2 linked regions of the Astyanax mexicanus genome follow. The main gene of each other region encodes a partner of the protein of the gene in region 2 in a complex. Links are inferred from orthologs where the notes say so. Each region holds a gene or a part of one and is shown on either strand. Other genes may lie near its edges. The genes, in order: vrk1 and phf2.

Region 1 (9,766 bases), on a different chromosome or scaffold from region 2:
GCTATTTACTGTGAGAATCACACTACAATCATTAAAACGATGCTCTTATCAATGCAGAACTGCCACATTGTCATTTGTGTTCATACCATGTTCACGTGAGGTGTGAGGGCTTACCACTTTGATGACATATGGCGCATCGGCTCCAACAGCTCTGGAAGTATCATCACTTGCTGAAAAGAGAAAATTACAGTCACTTATGTGTCATTTCACACCAGATATTAATATACCTTTTAATAAAAGCTAAATGTTTCACAAACTCTTACCCAGATACAAGAGACCAAAGCCTCCCTGGCCGATCGGCGCTCCGAGTTTCCAGCTTTTCTTCGCTGTGTCCGTCAGGATTTCTCCAGGTGGGAATTCCTCGGCCAGTTTTCTCTTAGCTGGACCCTTTCCTTTTCCTGCTGCCCTGGCTTTGGGAGGCATCTGATGATTCAGAGCATAATAAAGATTTAGATTACAACAAAGACTAAAAATGACACTCTAAAGACTTTAGTGAATGGACGTCTATAGAGTCTGCTGAATCTCTGAATCTAAAAACTAAATCTTAAGGTAAATGATACAGAAAATTAAGTAATTATGTAATTGTATCGTTATTTTACAATATGTTTTAGGACTAGGGCGTCTCACCCACACTATCAATTACAAAAACATTAGCCTGCATTACCCGCAAAAAAAAATGTTGGCTGTGTTCCTAATGACACACTATCACACCAAACAGTGAGGTAAAAATGGTTCACCACACAAGGGTGTGGTTTGGGACCGTAACCCATGAAAAGTTTTCCATGAAAAGTCACACTTATTCACCACCATACGTTGTAAAATGAATAGAAAATAGAGTCAAGACATTAACAAGGTTAGAAATAATGATTTGTATTTGAAATAACATTGTTTTTACATCAGACTTTGCTTTCATCAAAGAATCCTCCATTTGCAGCAATTACAGCATTGCACACCTTTGGCATTCTAGCTGTTAATTTGTTGAGGTAAGCTGGAGAAATTGCACCCGACGCTTCTAGAAGCAGCTCCCACAAGTTGGATTGGTTGGATGGGCACTTCTGGCGTACCATACGGTCAAGCTGCTCCCACAACAGCTCAATGGGGTTCAGATCTGGTGACTGTGCTGGCCACTCCATTACCAATAGAATACCAGCTGCCTGCTTCTGCTGTAAATAGTTCTTGCACAATTTGGAGGTGTGTTTAGGGTCATTGTCCTGTTGTAGGACGAAATTGGCTCCGATCAGGCGCTGTCCACTGGGTATGGCATGGCGTTGCAAAATGGAGTGATAGCCTTCCTTATTCAGAATCCCTTTTACCCTGTACAAATCTCACACCCTACCAGCACCAAAGCAACCCCAGACCATCACATTACCTCCACCATGCTTAACAGATGGCGTCAGGCATTCTTCCAGCATCTTTTCATTTGTTCTGCGTCTCACAAACGTTCTTCTTTGTGATCCAAACACCTCAAACTTGGATTCATCCGACCACAACACTTTTTTCCAGTCTTCCTCTGTCCAATGTCTGTGTTCTTTTGCCCGTCTTAATCTTTTTCTTTTATTAGCCAGTCTCAGATATGGCTTTTTCTTTGCCACTCTGCCCTGAAGCCCAAAATCCCGCAGCCGCCTCTTCACTGTAGATGTTGACACTGGTGTTTTGCGGGTACTATTTAATGAAGATGCCAGTTGGGGACCTGTGAGGCGTCTGTTTCTCAAACTAGAGACTCTAATGTACTTATCTTCTTGCTTAGTTGTGCAACGCGGCCTCCCACTTCTTTTTCTACTCTGGTTAGAGCCTGTTTGTGCTGTCCTCTGAAGGGAGTAGTACACACCGTTGTAGGAAATCTTCAATTTCTTAGCAATTTCTCGCATGGAATAGCCTTCATTTCTAAGAACAAGAATAGACTGTCGAGTTTCAGATGAAAGTTCTCTTTTTCTGGCCATTTTGAGCGTTTAATTGACCCCACAAATGTGATGCTCCAGAAACTCAATCTGCTCAAAGGAAGGTCAGTTTTGTAGCTTCTGTAATGAGCTAGACTGTTTTCAGGTGTGTGAACATGATTGCACAAGGGTTTTCTAATCATCAATTAGCCTTCTGAGCCAATGAGCAAACACATTGTACCATTAGAACACTGGAGTGATAGTTGCTGGAAATGGGCCTCTATACACCTATGTAGATATTGCACCAAAACCAGACATTTGCAGCTAGAATAGTCATTTACCACATTAGCAATGTACAGAGTGTATTTGTTTAAAGTTAGGACTAGTTTAAAGTTATCTTCATTGAAAAGTACAGTGCTTTTCCTTCAAAAATAAGGACGTTTCAATGTGACCCCAAACTTTTGAACGGTAGTGTGTGTGTGTATATATATATATATATATATATATATATATATATATATATATATATATATATATATATATATATGTCCTGTTTACATTAATGGTCATATACACATTAAATCAAGCAAACATTAAAGCATTTATTAACAGTATTAATAAACACAAACTTTATTAGAAATTAGATTAATAAATTAATTAATAACAGTTAGTCTAATCATGAATCATGTTTTGTGCTCCTTGATATTTCGATATGTGGTGTTAATATCAGTAGATAGAAAGACAGAGATATATACAGATGCACACAGATAAAAATGAGGCAGATGTATAAAAAGTAAGATAAATAGACAGATAAAGAGAGATAAAGAAAGATAGAGTTGGATAGACAGAGAGATATATACACAGATGGAGACAGCCAGATAGATGGAAAAAAAAGACAGATAGAGATAGCCAAAAAGACAGACAGACACACGGATGGAGACGTCAGACGTAAAAAAAAAAGACATATAGGGACAGCCAAATAGACAGAGAGACAGACAGATACAAGAAAAGATATAGACAGCCAGAGGTAGCCAGATAGACAAATAGACAGACAGAGATAGCTAAATGGACAGACAGATAGACAGACAGACGGATGGATGGAGATAGCCAGAGATAGATGATATGATATGGAGATAGATGACTAGACATACCCGGACTGAAAGACAGACAGACAGACAGACACACAGCCAGATAGACAGATAGATAGACAGAGACATAGCCATAGACATATAGAAATTAGAATGGACTTTAGCGTGTTAGTCAGACAGCTAGTTAGTTAGCTAGCAAGATATGCAAAGAGAAAGACAGATAAACAATGAAAAAGAGCGACAGACAGCATTAGAAACTTCAATAAACAGTGAATCAAGAAAACGGGCAACACTCGTTCCTTTTCCTCCAGTTAAGGGAGATATATATTTAATTGTTACTAAACTTCACTCACTTTTATTTTCACTTTGCAGCAGCAGCTTCCAGTAAACTGTCTGAGTGAGGTTAGCTCTGCTATAAACACAAACACAATATTAATCAGCAGTGTTAAATAATAATACAGCCAAGCTATTATCACTCTCCAATGTATATCATTTATAAACGGAGTTAAGTTATATAGCTATTAATGTAGAGCTGAGATCATCCAGCTAAAGCTAAAGCTAATGCTAACAGGCTTGACGCAGTTCAGACCCAGCATGCTAACTTAGCTTAGCTTAGGCGCTAACTCTCTCTCAGTTTAAACCCAACACGGTTAAAACACCCAGCACAGCCCGACAGCGTTAAATCCAGCCCCTCCTCTCCTCTCTATCCGCCGGCAGCAGCGCGAATCAGCGCGGTTATTAATATTACATTTAATAATATTTACTAACCTCTGTGTTTTGCTTTCTACCGGCTCCAAAATTCCCGCACAACTTCTGCTGAAAGGAGGAAGCTGATTGGTCAAGGCGGGGAACGCAATGAGCCCTGGGATTTGTAGTTGTTTGTAGTTTAGTCGATTTGTGGCAAAAGTTTACATGTTGTGACTAAATTACATATTTTATTTGCATGAAATGATATTGTTACGACTTAACTTTAATAATTTGACGTTGGTTTGACACATTATAAGTATAAATCTTTAAAAAAAATGTTTAACCCTCTATGGCATGGACTATATTTATTGGGAGAAAAAAAAACATTTTTGGAGTGGATATATCAAATATAGTCAAATATTTTGTCTTTTTATAATAAACTAATCTTTTAAATCTGACGTTTTAGAGCAAGGAAGCACCCAAAATATGCAGGAGTGTACAAAAGATTATTGCTCTATTGCACATGTAAATATTTTTAAGTTGTTTTGGATAAAAGTGTACGCTAATTGCTAAGTAATGTAAAATTTAATGTAAAAATAATATAATAAGTAAATAAACAGCCAAATATACTTTTTTACCTATTGTCGCACAATTACATATTTTTATTTATGACCCACTTGTAGGTCTCATTGCAATGGGCATAGATATTCCTTGTAATGTAACATTATATTAAAAATAAATATACAAATAAATACATTTAAAAAATAAGTAACTCTAGGGTATGGTGTAGGTTTTTTTTTTTTTTTTGGAGGGCAACACTCTGCCATAGAGGGTAAAATAATGGAGGTCAGCAGGTTTATAAGCAATTTCATTAGTGCAAGTTCATTTTGTGCCAATTCACATTTAACATTAAGTAGTGCACATCCATAGTTTAACATTTAAAACAAAATGTAAGTAAATTCACATTTACAAAAAACTACCAGTTTATGTTCCTGGTTCATTAAAAAAATGTCAAATGTTTCAGAAAATGCAGACAATTTTAAAAGCGTTTAAACTCCACTTATAAACCTTTTAAACGTGCTCTGGCTGTAACCTAGCATCAGCTCATCAACCAATCAGCACACAGTAGCAGTAATGCTAGCACCTTTATTGCCTAAAAATATTTATTTTATAATATTTTACTGCAGAAAATAATAAAGGTATGTTTTCTTTGTTTTTTTAGCAAAATGCATCATTCTACTTTTCAAAACTAAATAAATATTCTTATAAAGTGGTTAGTTACTGTTTTTTATTTGTGTTTTTAGCTGTTTAGCTCCATTCACTCCCATTCATATTGGTCTCACTCGGGGGCTCCCTCTAGCGGTGAGCAGTAATTTTCTATGATCGGAAGTGGGTACTCTCGCCATAAACTAGCTGTGGCTTGTCTGCGATTTCAGTTGCGGGAGAGTGAATTATGCTCACCTTTACCTTCATTAATTGTGAAAATGTTTAATTAAGGCCGTTTACTGAAGGAGTTCATTCACAAGTGGGGTTTAATGCGTGTGACGTCACCAAGCCGCCATATTTGAGGTATAGTTGCTGTGAACTGTGAGGAAAAGTACTAAAAACTGACATTGTTTCATAATGTTTGGACATTTTAAAGGGATAAAACTGTAGAAACTGTAGTAAAACAAGTTTAACGACACTGCTAAATAAATAAGACCAGACTACAACAAACTGAAATGCTATTTCTGCCGCAAACGGCCTCATAAAATTATCTGGATATTACAGATATTAGATTAATTAACTTATAGCACCTGTAAACACCTGTAAACTTTTCTGAAACTAGGCTTTAAAACCCACACACATTTGTTTAATGAGGGCAGGACAATTTTCCATTTCAGCCGAAGCTTCAAAACATGAAACTTGTGCTTAAAGCACTGCAGAATTTCCCTTTTTTAAACCTTGTCTTTAGGCACTAATATTTGCCACACTACTATTACACACTACTTTTTTAAATATTTAGTTTTAAGATCAATACATGAATGTATTGTTAATAATAGGGGTGTTCTATATTGTATCAAACACAATAATATCAATCAAAATTTAACATAATAAAAAAAGTATATTTTTGATATTCTTAAAAGTTTAGTTGTTTGTTTGCAGTTTATATGTATGCACTCAATATGCTGTACTTTAGTTTTGTGGTAGATTTCCATTGTTATATTTACTTTATGTTTTTATATTTTTCATTTTGTTACACTTATTATTTTATATAAACTCAGAGTTTTGGTTATTTAGAGTTTTGTTATATAAGAATTGTTTACGAAATAGACAAACACAATTATGAATTATTTGTTTCTACTAAATGTATAAAATATGTTATATTTAATACTAAATAGTACTTTACTATTAATCTTGTTGCAGTAGTTTATTGTAGTTTTATATTCTTGAAATTAATTTTAATAATGTCAGTTTTGTCATATTACCAAGAATACTGATATTGCAAAAATACCATGACATATAATAATGTATTTATGCAAAATACTGGAAAAAGGAATGTGTAAAATTACATTTTGCTATGTTGCAAAAAATAAAAAATAATAAGTTAAAAATATTGTTTTAGTTCTAGTCAATAATAATTTACTCTTTTTGTTGTAGTGTGGTATTTGTTGCCCAGTTGAGGAATTGAACTATCCAACCACTACAGTGTAGGACTGTGAGGTTAATCCGATAAATTTAATAATCAAGTTACTGTTTTAATGCAATTTTCAAAAAGGCATAATCGCGATTGTAGATCTTAGAACATACAGGAGCTGCCAGAGGGAATCTCAGTAGACACAGTAGATATTTTCTTCTGTCAGAAACCTGTGAAGAACTGTTTTATAAGGAAATGCAAGGACGTTTTGTTTGCATACTATTTTAACTATTCGTTTACAATAGACATTACAATTTACATTAAATATAAAGGAAACATATACAAATATAAATAGCTTGTTGCTTTTTGTTTAGAAATAAAACAATATATGTTGTTATGTAAAAATAACAAAAAATCGCTCATATATTTAAAAAATATTTAGAATATATATTTTTTTTACAATATCGCCCAGCCCTACTACATTGTATGAATATGAATATAAATGCTGTATTGTTTTAGTTTTTATTCAAAACATGGCCTATTAATAGTGTTTGCTCAGACTGTGTGTACCTTAGCAATTACCGTTTGTGTGTAGGCGACCCTGCGACGCGGTCCTTTGTGGTGCGGGTGGGTTATATTTGGTTTTTCTCAGAAACTCTGTGCTCAAAAATGCATTTTCATCCGAGTGTTTCATTTGTGTTCTTACACAGCATATCGCTGTGTGCATATTTGATGTTGAAATGGAGTTCCACCAGCACTGAGAGGCACGGGCATCATTAATAATGGATGCTGTGGTATCCTGTAACTGCTTTGTAAAAGTGTTAAGCACTGGTCTTAAGTTTCCAGCTGCCATCCGACTGTTTTGGAACTGCGACAGAGCAGTTCGCACAAGTGGATCCCGGAGTTCATTGACTGGTTTTGTTGTCAGATGGAATAAGAATTGGATGATGTTTCCATAGCCGTTCCGGCGCGGGTATAGCCATGAGGATAGACTCGTGTTTACTTCATCAAATATTACTGGATGTCAACCGCCGTTAGTGCCTATTCAGACTACCAGCGCTCGGATGGCCTACATCGAGTGAAGCTCCTGGTATCTGGGCCGCGCTGCCGACGACAATGACAGGTCACACAGAGGAAGAGGCGACACGCCCGTTTGGAAAGAAGTGCAGAGGGGAAAAGCGCGTGTCCTTCCCTCCTGACGAGGAGATGGTGTCAGGCTTTGCTGAGAGCAGGGACACACTGCGGGATGGTGAGCTGCTGCTGTTCTCTCCATACAGTCTCTCCTCCTTCGTCCTCGTTCACTCGTTCCTGTGTGTGATCTGCAGCAGCTTATATACATCTACAGCGGCCATGAAAAGTATTTAAACACTAATAAACCATTAAACCACTGATGATTTTAAAGTTCTTTTTAGGTTTCTGCTTAAACAGGCCCTGTTTAAGCTATCTTTAATCTGTAGGTGAGCTGTCAACATGTTTTGGTGTGTCTTTGCTATCGTAACGATGGGTAAAGTACACTTAGGGCCCTATTTTAGCCATCTATAGCGCATCAGTCAATTGCGGCTCACGCAGCTGTATTTAGAGTATCATGAGGGTGCACAAAATGAGTCTAAAAAAATCTATAAAAAAATAAAATTCAGCAATGTTATTTTATTCTTTATTCTGTTCATTATTTATGTAAAAGCTGGATTTGTGCTCTGCATTGCATTGTAGGTGTTCTGAGGGTGCATGACACTCCAGCATGGATAAGATAGGATTGGGCGGCTGACTGTTGACTGTTGTCAGGGTTTTAATCAGTCCGTGACACACCTGTATTTCCCGCCGCCAAGATAGAAACATGGCAGACATCAATGTAAATTTATTGACACTATTTTAACAGCGTGAAAATAGACTTTTGACTGGGTGTAAGACAGCATCGAGGATTGCAACGCACTTTGTCCCTGTGTGTAAAAGCTGGGGGTGTACGAGTGTTAGGGATGTGCCTGTGTGTTGACAATTCACTGACAAGATAGCAATGAACGTCTGACTGTTAAGGTCTGTCTAGGTTGTATTTAGACAGTGAAGCATCTGTGAATACATCAGACATTTTCCTGAACACACCTTATTTCCAGACCACCACCCATCAGTGTAGATATATTTACAAGCAACGTTGCGATTTAAACAACACAGAAGCCGTAAAAACCAAAATCTGTGTATCGTACGTATATTATGCAACACATGTGTCCAATATACAACATTTGTGTATTATTATTATTATTATTATTATTATTATTATTATTATTATTATTATTATTATTATTATTATTATTATTATAGTACTTTAATATTAATTGTGTTGCAGTAGTTTATTGTAGTAGTTTATCATTCTTTAAATGAATTCTAAAAAATATCAGTATTTTGTCACATTACCAAGAATACAGTTACTGCAAAAATACTATGAAATATCATGATATATTAATGCAAAATACTGTAAAAAAGAAATGGTACAATTGTATTTATATTAAATTACATTTTTCTATATTGCAAAATAAAATATATATATATATATATCATATTATGTTCTAGGTAATAATAATTTGCTAATCTACACCAACCACTGTTTTATTATCCACAGTATCATACATATATTATGCAAATGTATCCAATATACAGTATTTACATGTTTATTATTATTATTATTATTATTATTATTATTATTATTATTATTATTATTATTATTTACACTTTACACTTACTTGCCCCATTACTGAAAGTGTTTTTTTGCCATCCCCACTACAGAACTATGAATTTGAATATAACAAATTATTAGTAAAATATATATTTTTTGGTTGGGGATAAAACATGCATTGATTTATTTATCAACTGATTACTAAACACTCTGAAAACATATCAGCAAAGCATACATTTCCAAATATATATATATATATATATATATATATTTTTTTTTTTTTTTTTTTTTTTTTTTTTTTGTGGCACTCAAATATAATATAATATACAAAACATAACAAAAATCTTATAACTCTTTATTTTCTGTCCTCTGATTAGAGATGAGAGATTAGAGATGTGTGTTTTTCAGTTGTGACGTTTATACCTTATCACAGATCTATTTATACTCAGTATGTGCAATATGAACAAGCTCTCTTTAAATGGGATTGTTATGGTTTCATGTAAATTGCAGTGCAGCGTCACGTGGTTTGATGGAAACGTCTCTGCGTCTTAATTCTGATTCGGATTTTCACAAACATGATAACCCAGCCTTACCGCTGCTCAGCTAGCAGCTCCCAGTGACCTAGATGTTTTGAAACAGATGATTTAATAAGATTCAAATTCATTAATGTCCAGGTAAGACTGATAGTAATGTTTTTGGTAGAAACAAAAATGTTTTTTTAGAAGTAAACATGCTAATAGTCAATAAACAAATAGATAAAAGATGATTAATATGATATATGGCAGTGGTTAACAGTGAAATATGAACTATGTCAGTAATACAAAATATAGGC
Region 2 (9,643 bases):
TGCATATGCGGCAACGTTAAAAGGCAAATGATAAAAAAAACTGTTTGAAGATTGTTAAAAGGTTTTATTTTCCTTTGTATCAACCTTAAAATAAACGTTTATTCAATGTTTTTGCTTTCTCCTATCAATAAGAAGCACTGCAGTAATGAAAGGGTTAAAACATTAGGCGCGTAAAATGTCTCAGTCAATGGGGCTTCCTCTCTTTCTCCCTCAGTCTTTCCATTAATGCCGAGCTTTCGGAGGCAAAAGTCTGATTAAACGTCGTGTTAACGTGTTTAAAAGTGTTTGTAGAATCAGAAACGAACGTTAAAACGATGAATTTAGCGAAAAATGACGGGTATAGAGCCGGATCTCCGCGGCGGGAGCTGCCGTAGCTGCTTCCCGCTGACTGTGAAGACTCGCCCGGCTACGGCTGCTGCCGCTACCCGCTGCTGTCAGTGGGCGGAAGAGCGGGTGATTAGCAGGGTTAGCAAGCTAGTGACCAAACAAACTAATCAATCGAGTGTTTAATCGATCGATCTGATCGGTTTGTGCGATAAATGAGGTGATATGAAGTGATTTAAACAGATACTGCTGTTCTGAGGTAAAATCTGCAGTGTGTGACACAGCCAGGCTATTATTATTCTGCCTCAGAGCTAACGCTAGCTTTAGCTGTATGTTGTTTACGGTTCAAATTAACTCAGAAAAAAGTATTTTTTGGTGCAAACTGAAGCAAAAATAACGGTCCAGAATGGCACAGAACATCCCAAGAACGTTTTTAAACGTATTAACCCTATTTCTGCACTGTTATTGATGTTGCAGAGCTAGATAACCAGCTGTAAACCTCAGTCAGATATTAGCTAGGTAGCTAACACAGCCTTTTTAGCTCCACATAAAGCAAAAAAAAGTAACCTACGTTTAATCGACGTTTATTTTTCCATCACAAATACATTTAATACCGAATACCGAAACAATGTTTATCTCCCAACATCAGAAGTGATTTATATGTGCACATCGATTTCACAACATTAAGTAGATGTTATGGTATTATATGTCTTGCAGTGCAGAAAGGGACATTTAGCCTAAATAATAATTATCAAAAATATTTTTTGGTGCAAACTGAAGCAAAAAGAAGGGTCAAAAATAGCCCAGAACATCTCAAGAACGTTTTTAAACAAATTAGCCCTTTTCTGCACTGTTACTGTTGTTGCACAGCTAGACAACCAGCTGTTATAAGCCTAAGTCAGATATTAGTCAGCTAGCAAAGCCTTTTTAGCTCCACAGATAGCAAAAAAGTACCATGTTTAATCGACGTTTATTTTTCCATTGCAAATACATTTAATACACTGAAACAATGTTTATCTCCCACTATCAGAAGTGATATATTTGTGCACATGATCTCTCAAGTTGCAGTGTAGAAAGTGATATTTAGCCTACATAATAATTATTAATAACAAGTATTCTTATTATTTGTGAACGTTAATTCAATGTCAGAATTTCAACACTAACAATAACCTGTGCTGCCTTTTACAGACAATTATAAATGTTTTCACAGGCCATTTAAAGGTTGTCTGCTTTATTTGTTTAATTAACCTTTATCAATTATTTAACGTTTATTTAACATTATATGCTCTGCCATCAGGGTTACTCTCCCTTCCATTGCTAATGCACTGAAACAAAGTTGATCTCCAAAGCCGCAAATCAACACTTTGATTTTACAATGAATCAACGTGTATGGTTCGTATTAAATGGTTAATTACATTAAATAGCATGCACTGTGTAATGCTAATGTAAAAATAGTAATATTATTATCTGTGAGACGTTAGCACCTTTTACCTTAAAGAAGCATTGCAGCCCAACCATTCAAAGCCTTTAGCTAATAGCCTACATTGATTCAATGTCAGAATTTCATGCCTAGGCAATGTTAAACGTTTTTAAATGTTGTTTAAAGGTTGCCTCCTTTATTTCATCATCAACCTAAACATAGGCTAATGCAAAACCAAAACAGCAGTTAAGTACCTTTCACCTAAATAAGCATTATGGCCCAACCATTCAAAACCTTTAGTTAATAGCTTACATGAACGTTGATTTAATGTCAGATGACATTACAGTCAATGTTAAATATTGTGAAAGGGAACCTGCTTTTTTACCATTATCAAGCTTAACCCCAAATAACAGACATAGGCTAATGCAAAACCAAAACAAAAATAAATTGACGTTAATTTAACGTTCTTTAAAGTACCATCAGGGTCACTCCCCTTGCACTGAAACTGCAAATCGATTTTACACTGATTCAGAGTGTATGGTTCGTATTAAAATGGTAATTACATTAAATAGCATGTACGTGTAATGCTAATGTAATAATAGTAATATTATTATCTGTGAGGCTTTAGCACCTTTCACCTAAAAGATGCATTTAGCTAATAGCCTACATTGATTCAATGTCAGAATCCCATGCTTAGGGAATGTTAAAGGTTGTTAAACACTGTTTAAAGTTTGCCGCCTTCTTTTTCCTCAATCATCAAGCCTATCAGGATAACAGACATATGCTAATGCAAAACCAAAACATCAATTAATTAACATTTATTTAACGTTTACTTTTTGCTCTATCATCAGGGTCACTCCCCCTTCCATCGCTAATGCACTGAAACAAAGTTGATCACTGAAACCGCAAATCGGTTTAACACTGATTCAACGACTTCAGCACCTTTCACCTAAATGATGCTTCGTAGCCCAACCATTCAAAGCATTTAGCCAACAGCCTACATGAACGTTGATTCAATGTCAGAATTCCATGCCTGGGCAATGTTAAAGGTTGTTAAACGTTGTTTAAAGGTTGCCGCCTCCTTTCAAACCGAACCTCAAGAAAACAGACATAGGCTAATGCAAAACCAAAACAACAATTAATGAACGTTTATTTAACATTTATTCTTTGCTCTATCATCAGGGTCTCTCCCCCTTCCATCGCTAATGCACTGAAACAAAGTTGATCATTGAAACCGCAAATCGGTTTGACACTGATTCAACGCCTTCAGCACCTTTCACCTAAATGATGCATTGTAGCCCAACCATTCAAAGCATTTAGCCAACAGCCTACATGAACGTTGATTCAATGTCAGAATTCCATGCCTGGGCAATGTTAAAGGTTGTTAAACGTTGTTTAAAGGCTGCCGCCTCCTATTGCTATTTCACCCCACCATCAAGCCTTACCTCATGCAACTAAGAAAAACAACAAAAAGCTTTTTTATTATTATTTAAGCTAACGTTTAATGTTTTAACGTTCTTTGCCTTTATGGTCAGGGTCGCTCTCAGGGTCTTTCTCTCTTTCTCTCTCTCTGTACCATACACACACACACACACGCATACACACATATATAAACACATACACACACACGCATATACATATATATATATATATATATATATATATATATATATATATATATATATATACACACACATACACACACACGCACGCGCGCGTTCACAAAAAAAAGGCGCCCGAGAACGATGTTACTATGTTACTATACGAGTAATTTCTCTAAAGCAGCGCGCGCGCGCTAATCTGCGCCGGTAACGCGCGCCGAAAAAACGGCGCAAACCGGAGCCCCGCGGCGGGCAGCAGTGCTGAAGGGGAACCGAGCGCGGCCTCTCGCGCGCACACAGAGAACGAAGCGCGAGCAGGAAAAATACACACAAAAAACACCAAGATGGGAGGGCAGACCCGCAGCCGGAGCCCTCCGCGCTCGTTCGCGGGCCGGCGGAGCCCCGGAGGCGGCCGCGCGGCGAGCCGCGAGCGCTGCTTCTTTACCTGCCGTGGAACCAGTCCTTACAGGCGTCGCACTCGATCATGAACTGGGTTACGTCGTACGGTAACCTGCAGATGCAATACACGGGCACGGTCGCCATGTTAGATCAGCATTCACAACAGCAGAGGAGGAGCGAGGGAGGGAGGGAGGGAGAGAAAGAGAGAGAGAGAGAGGAGGAGGGAGGGCAGGAAGGCAGTAAAAGGCTGGATGCAGTAGCGCTGAGCAGCAGCTGGGGGAGATCCTCAGATCGAGCGTGTGTTCATCAGATCGGAGTGGTGGAGGGTGAAGGGCGGGATAGAAAGAGAAAGAGAGAGAGAGAGAATATGAGTGAGAGAATGAGTGAGTGGGAAGAAGGAATGTTCAATAAACGTTTATGTTTTTTTTTATATATATATATTAATATATACATTAATTTTATTATTATTTTTTTTTATTCTATTTTCTCCCCAATTTACCTTAGGCAATTAATTATAACCCAACCCACTCATTACTAAGACTCCCCCTATCAGGAGTGATGCTCTAATTAATTAAGTTCACACCTTTAGATAGCGCCTTTCTAGAAACCTTAAGGGCGCTTTACAATTTACTTAGACATTTTACACACAACCATTTAAACTCAGCACTCAACCACACACCAGTGAGAACACCAGGCAGCCAATAATGCACAGCGTACTCTCAACCGGAAACGACCGTCCACCTGGAGGAGGACTGCATCAGGCACTACATACATACATTTTACACACACACAACTTACATATATACCACACACTTTTTACATATGCACACCAGACCAATTTAGAGTACCCAATTTTCAAAATGTATTTAGAGTATTTAATTGTTCTGGGCAATTTAGAGTATCCGTATCCAATTTACCTGATTTCCATGTTTTTTGGACTGTGGGAGGAAACTAGTGTCCACCCAGATAGGGACTTGAACCCAAGACCCCAGTGCTGGGGGGCATACGTGCTAACCACTAAGCCCCTGTGCCACCTAGGTGAAGACCAGCACTAGATGATGTGGCCCTCAAGCATGAAACATCTGGCCCGTGAGGTTATTTGAACTATGAACGATAATGGAAAAAAATAAATAAATAAAATGCTTTTCTGGAGAGCTTTTGTTTAAATTCCTCCTCTGTCTCTTTTTGTCGCGCTCGGCGTGGCTTTAGTTTCCGTCCATTCTTGGTTTTCTGCACATTCTCGGACTCCCCATCTACTTATGAGGGCGTGTTCAATCCCGCGTGAGGAGCGGTGTGTTTATTTATTTACTATTTTCCTTTCTTCTTGGGTTTACCTGCTTTGAATTCAACTGTTCTGCATTTGGGTTCAACAACCCTCTGGGCTGGAGAGCTACTTACTAGTCTGTAGTCTCCATCCTATTACACTTCTATCACTAAATCACACTCATGTAGGCTGTTATCTAAATGTTTTAAATAGTCGAGGCTGATATGATAATGATAATGTAATTCTTTGCCAGCAGGGTGAAATAAACAAACACCTATAATTATGGAAAAAAAACTTTAACAATATTTAACAATACCTATAATAGGGATCATCGGTTAATGTTGACATATTAAAAGTTTGACATTGAATGAACGTTCATGTAGGCTATTAGCTAAAGGTTTTGAATGGTTGATGCTGATAATTTAATGTAAGTAAAGTCTAATACTAACCATACATGCTGGTGATCAACGTTGTTTTAGTGCATTAGTGATGCCAAAATACCTTTATTCAACGTTCTTTTCCATATTGTGTCCTTATACACTTTAAATAGGAGGAATCACCAGGACCAGAGGTAGTAGTATATATAAAAGTGTAATACAATATAAACGTATTACCTTATCTTTCAGCACAGTTTTACTGCCTACATGTAACTGACACAAAGAATGAATGACACAAAATATTTACAGTAAATAAAGTAACCAGTTCTGCTGTATGAGGGGTGTAGTATGTTCACAAGTAGGTGGCGCACACCAACTTTAAACAAATTACACTTCTTGATTTTTAGGAATTTTAGGGAGTTTTTTTGGTGTGTTTTTTTGTGTTTTTACACTTTGTAACCTAAACATATACAGCTCTGGAAAGAAATGTGATGCTGGATTCTTGTATAGTGGTAGTTTAGCTCTACATTTACAGCATACAGCTCACAGACCACTTAAAAATGATGAGTTTCTTTGATTTTACCAAATTGAAAACCTCTGGAATATAATCAAGAGGAAGATGGATGATCACAAACCATCAAACCACCAAACTGAACTGCTTGAATTTTTACTCCAGGAGTAAAGCAGCATAAAGTTATCCAAAAGCAGTGTGTAAGACTGGTGGAGGAGAACATGATGCCAAGATGCATGAAAACCAGGGTTATTTTTTTATTGTTGTCTTTGCATTATTTGAGGTCTGAAAGCTCTCCATCTTTTTTGTTATTTCAACCATTTCTCATTTTCTGTAAATAAATGCTCTAAATGAGAATATTTTTATTTGTAATTTGGGAGAAATGTTGTCTGTAGTTTATAGAATAAAACAACAATATTCATTTTACTCAAACATAAACCTATAAATAGCAAAATCAGAGAAACTGATGTGCTCTCTTCATTTTTTCCAGTGTTTTTTTTTTTGTTCGTATCATCAGGAACATCATTATCGCAAGCAAAATTGCGAACCCTGAAATATTGCAATATTATTTTAGGGCCGTATCGCCAAACTCTTAACGGTTTAGAACTAATCCCAATAAATATAAAAAAGAGACAGACACAGTGGAATTATACTAAAAGAATAAAGACTTTTATTAAGCATTGTAAGTTGCATTCAATTTCCTTCTAATACATCACACCACAATCCATCCACAGTCACTCAAAACCCCACAGTAGATCGATCCGCTTCACCCTGTGAGTTAGGAAACAACTCCCATCAACTTACATTAAGGTAACCTATTTAGTCTGGCGGGCGGGGGGATAGTACACCATATTTCTGATCACTAATGTGCGACGAAAAGCTTAATCAGGAGGATTAGATGGAAAACTTTTGTAAGTAATGATTCTCAATCAGAAGTAGAAGCAGCTCCGGGAAAAAAACACGAAAACGCAAAACACCGAAAAAAACGATTACGAAGTTCTTAACCTGTGCTTATTAACGCTAAACTCTAGAACGTACGGGCATAGAGACCTTATTAACGAGGAGACTGAGGAAAATTACTTCTGTGTAAAAATGGGATTTCTCTGAACTCTTATTACTAATATTAATATCAACATTTATGGATGAAGTCTTTTTGCATTTTAAGCAAAAAGAGCCAATCAGCTTGCTGCTTGCTGTGGAGACCTGCGCAGGCGCAGCAGCCAAAACAAAAGCAGGAAAATCGCGTTTGTTTTTGATTGTTTGTTTGTTTAAGCATTTTTGAATTAAATTATATAAATTTGGATGATGTAGAATCAGATTTGATCAATTATAATGTAAAATATGATGTAAAATATGATTTTTTGTCTCTTAGCATTTAAAATTGAAAAGAAAGAAATGCGTAAAGAGTTTTGGGACTTTGGGAAGGCTTTATATAAATAAAAAAAAAATTAAAAAAGAGAGAGAGAGAAAAAGGGGGCGTGGCATTCAAACAGATCAAAGCGTTTTCTTTTCTTCTTTTTTATATGCGATAATTATGAAGATGCACAAAAACAGCAGCAACAAAGGGCAAGAACAGATACAGGGATGGAGATGGAAGAGTAGTACACCAGGGTTAACAATATTTAAAGTGGCTAGATAACATCTGATATATTCTCTTTATTTTCTCTTATTATTAATCCAGAGTTTTTCTGAGTAAAATGCAACAGAGGTCGATAAATCACAAGAATTTCAAAAGGTTAGAGCAAATCAGTTACTGACTAACAGTTAGAACACCTTTAATAAGGACTATTATTACTGATTATTAGCCATGTTTCAAAGATTTTGCAAATGGGCACAGTACTTACTTGTAGAGATGGAAAGAAAAAGGACAACATGCATCGTAATAATAATAATAATAATAATCATAATAATAATAATTACACACCTTTTTTTGATTTTTGATTTTTGCTCGATTTTCATCGTGAAGAGAATCATGCAGAGTTGCTGAAAGTTGCTGAAACCGTCGTTTTATTCATGTTCTTTAATAATAATGTTCTACGACTGATTCAAGAAACCACACGGATACGGATAAATCGATAAGTCACGTGGCGGTTTCTGACGAAAACGTTCATTAATTTTCTATTGATCAGATAGAAATGAATCGATTTTCGCTTCTTGCTTGATGTCTCTTGATGTCCCGATGTTTCTTACACTGCTAAAGTATGACACCGATCAAACGGAGAGAACCTAAGGCTGCAAGTATATTTACGTATATTTACGTCATTTTATTTTTTTTAAAGCACGACTAAACCACCCACAGTGAATTTATCATTTTGCTCCTTCTTGTTTTTTTTTGTCATGAGTTTTGCTCACCTTAAACAAACTAAATTTCAAAATAAAAGCTGTATATTTACTGTGACACAACACAAATTCAATTATAATGGCGCAAATATATATATTTATTCATATATATATAGATATATATATATGTGGTGCCAAGTACTGATAGAACAGTCTTAACAGACAGATCTCAACCTATAAAGTTACTGAAGTTACTGAACGAAGATTCTGTTCTGTAAAATCAAAAATGTCTATTTTTATATATATATGCACTATATTGCCAAACATATATTCACTCAGGTGTTCAATCCAATCACTTACGTGTCCACAGGTGTTTAATAAAACATAAAAAGCAGCAGCAAGGCATGCTGGGACTGCTTCTACAAACAGTCTATTAGTAAAAGGATGGGTCTCAGGCTCTCAGGAGCTCAGTGAACTCCAGCACTGTGGTACCGTGATGGGTAGGATGCAGCACCCAGTCATGCAACAAAAAGTCCAGTTGTGAAATTTACCCACTACTACTCACTACTAAATATTCCACAGCCAACTGTCAGTGATATTATAACACAGTGGAAGAGCCTGGGAATGACAGCAGTTTTGTAAAGAGAACAGTACTTGTCTGGCTGTATTGTGCTGAGTGTAAAGTTTGGATGAGGGGGGATCATTAGTATGGTGTGGAGTAAAGAACAGTACAGAACAGTGTAGAGAGACTCATGGAATGGAGAGAGGTTTACATGACCGATCATCTTAAATCGAAATGACAGCAGTGGTGCATTGTGCTAGGTGTAAAAGTTTGGATGAGGGGGGATCATTAGTATTATGGTGTGGTGGTGGTGGTGTTTTTTTTGTTGTTTTTAGGAGTTGAGCTCGAGCCTTTTTAGTTTCAGTGAAGAAGCATTTAATGCTTCAGCAAACCAAGAGATTTTGGACATTTTCATGCCTTTATCTTTGTGGGAACAGTTTGGGGATGGACCCTTCCTGGTTTACAACATTACAGACCTCCAAACTTCGTGTAGCTTCAGATTAGAACAACAGTAATGGAATAAAGAGAGGTTTACATGACCGATCGGCTCAAATTCATCCAAACCTTGCAATGCAGGTGAGCGAGTGAATATATTTGCCAATATAGTGTATATTAATTAATATATTATTATTATACTGTATATCATCAGTGAGGAGGGAGCAGACCCATATTATAACTCCTTATATACTGGTGTTATTATAATTATTTTCCTCTAAGAAACGTCGTTTTTAAATCTCTTTATCGTGTTGAGTTGAGTGTGTGTTGCGTTCGCGCTGAGAAATGTCGTCGTTACTCGCAGGTTTTAACTCGCTGACGTCGAAAGAGGAATTTCTGAAAATTTCATACAGTAAAAGTCCTCAAGTTTATCATCAAGTTAGTTAAGCTTTTTAAGCTTTTCTCTGCTT

Evidence for each region.
Region 1: the proteins of phf2 (region 2) and vrk1 are in contact, whole or in part, in a crystal structure (PDB 8F8Y), measured with the Homo sapiens proteins. The link is inferred for Astyanax mexicanus from reciprocal best matches to the Homo sapiens genes PHF2 and VRK1. Residues at the interface, in NP_005383.3 of Homo sapiens: Tyr7, Tyr14, Val16, Thr17, Arg18, Phe19, Met20, Ile21, Glu22, Trp29, Glu39, Ala42, Ile45, Asp46, Tyr48, Lys64, Tyr145, Ser147, Glu150, Lys175, Val178, Asp179, Tyr182, Ser183, Thr184; in NP_003375.1 of Homo sapiens: Pro2, Arg3, Val4, Lys5, Ala6, Ala7, Gln8.

The regions. Positions count from the first base shown.
Region 1 is NC_064421.1:5,352,346-5,362,111, reverse strand, and holds the start of vrk1 (serine/threonine-protein kinase VRK1), read right to left. Parts: upstream 3,820-9,766; 5' UTR 3,734-3,819; intron 3,378-3,733; 5' UTR 3,319-3,377; intron 424-3,318; coding exon 264-423; intron 171-263; coding exon 115-170; intron 1-114. UniProt on the Homo sapiens protein: Serine/threonine kinase involved in the regulation of key cellular processes including the cell cycle, nuclear condensation, transcription regulation, and DNA damage response.
Region 2 is NC_064431.1:32,873,143-32,882,785, reverse strand, and holds the start of phf2 (lysine-specific demethylase phf2), read right to left. Parts: upstream 3,918-9,643; 5' UTR 3,889-3,917; coding exon 3,791-3,888; intron 1-3,790. UniProt on the Homo sapiens protein: Lysine demethylase that demethylates both histones and non-histone proteins. Enzymatically inactive by itself, and becomes active following phosphorylation by PKA: forms a complex with ARID5B and mediates demethylation of methylated ARID5B.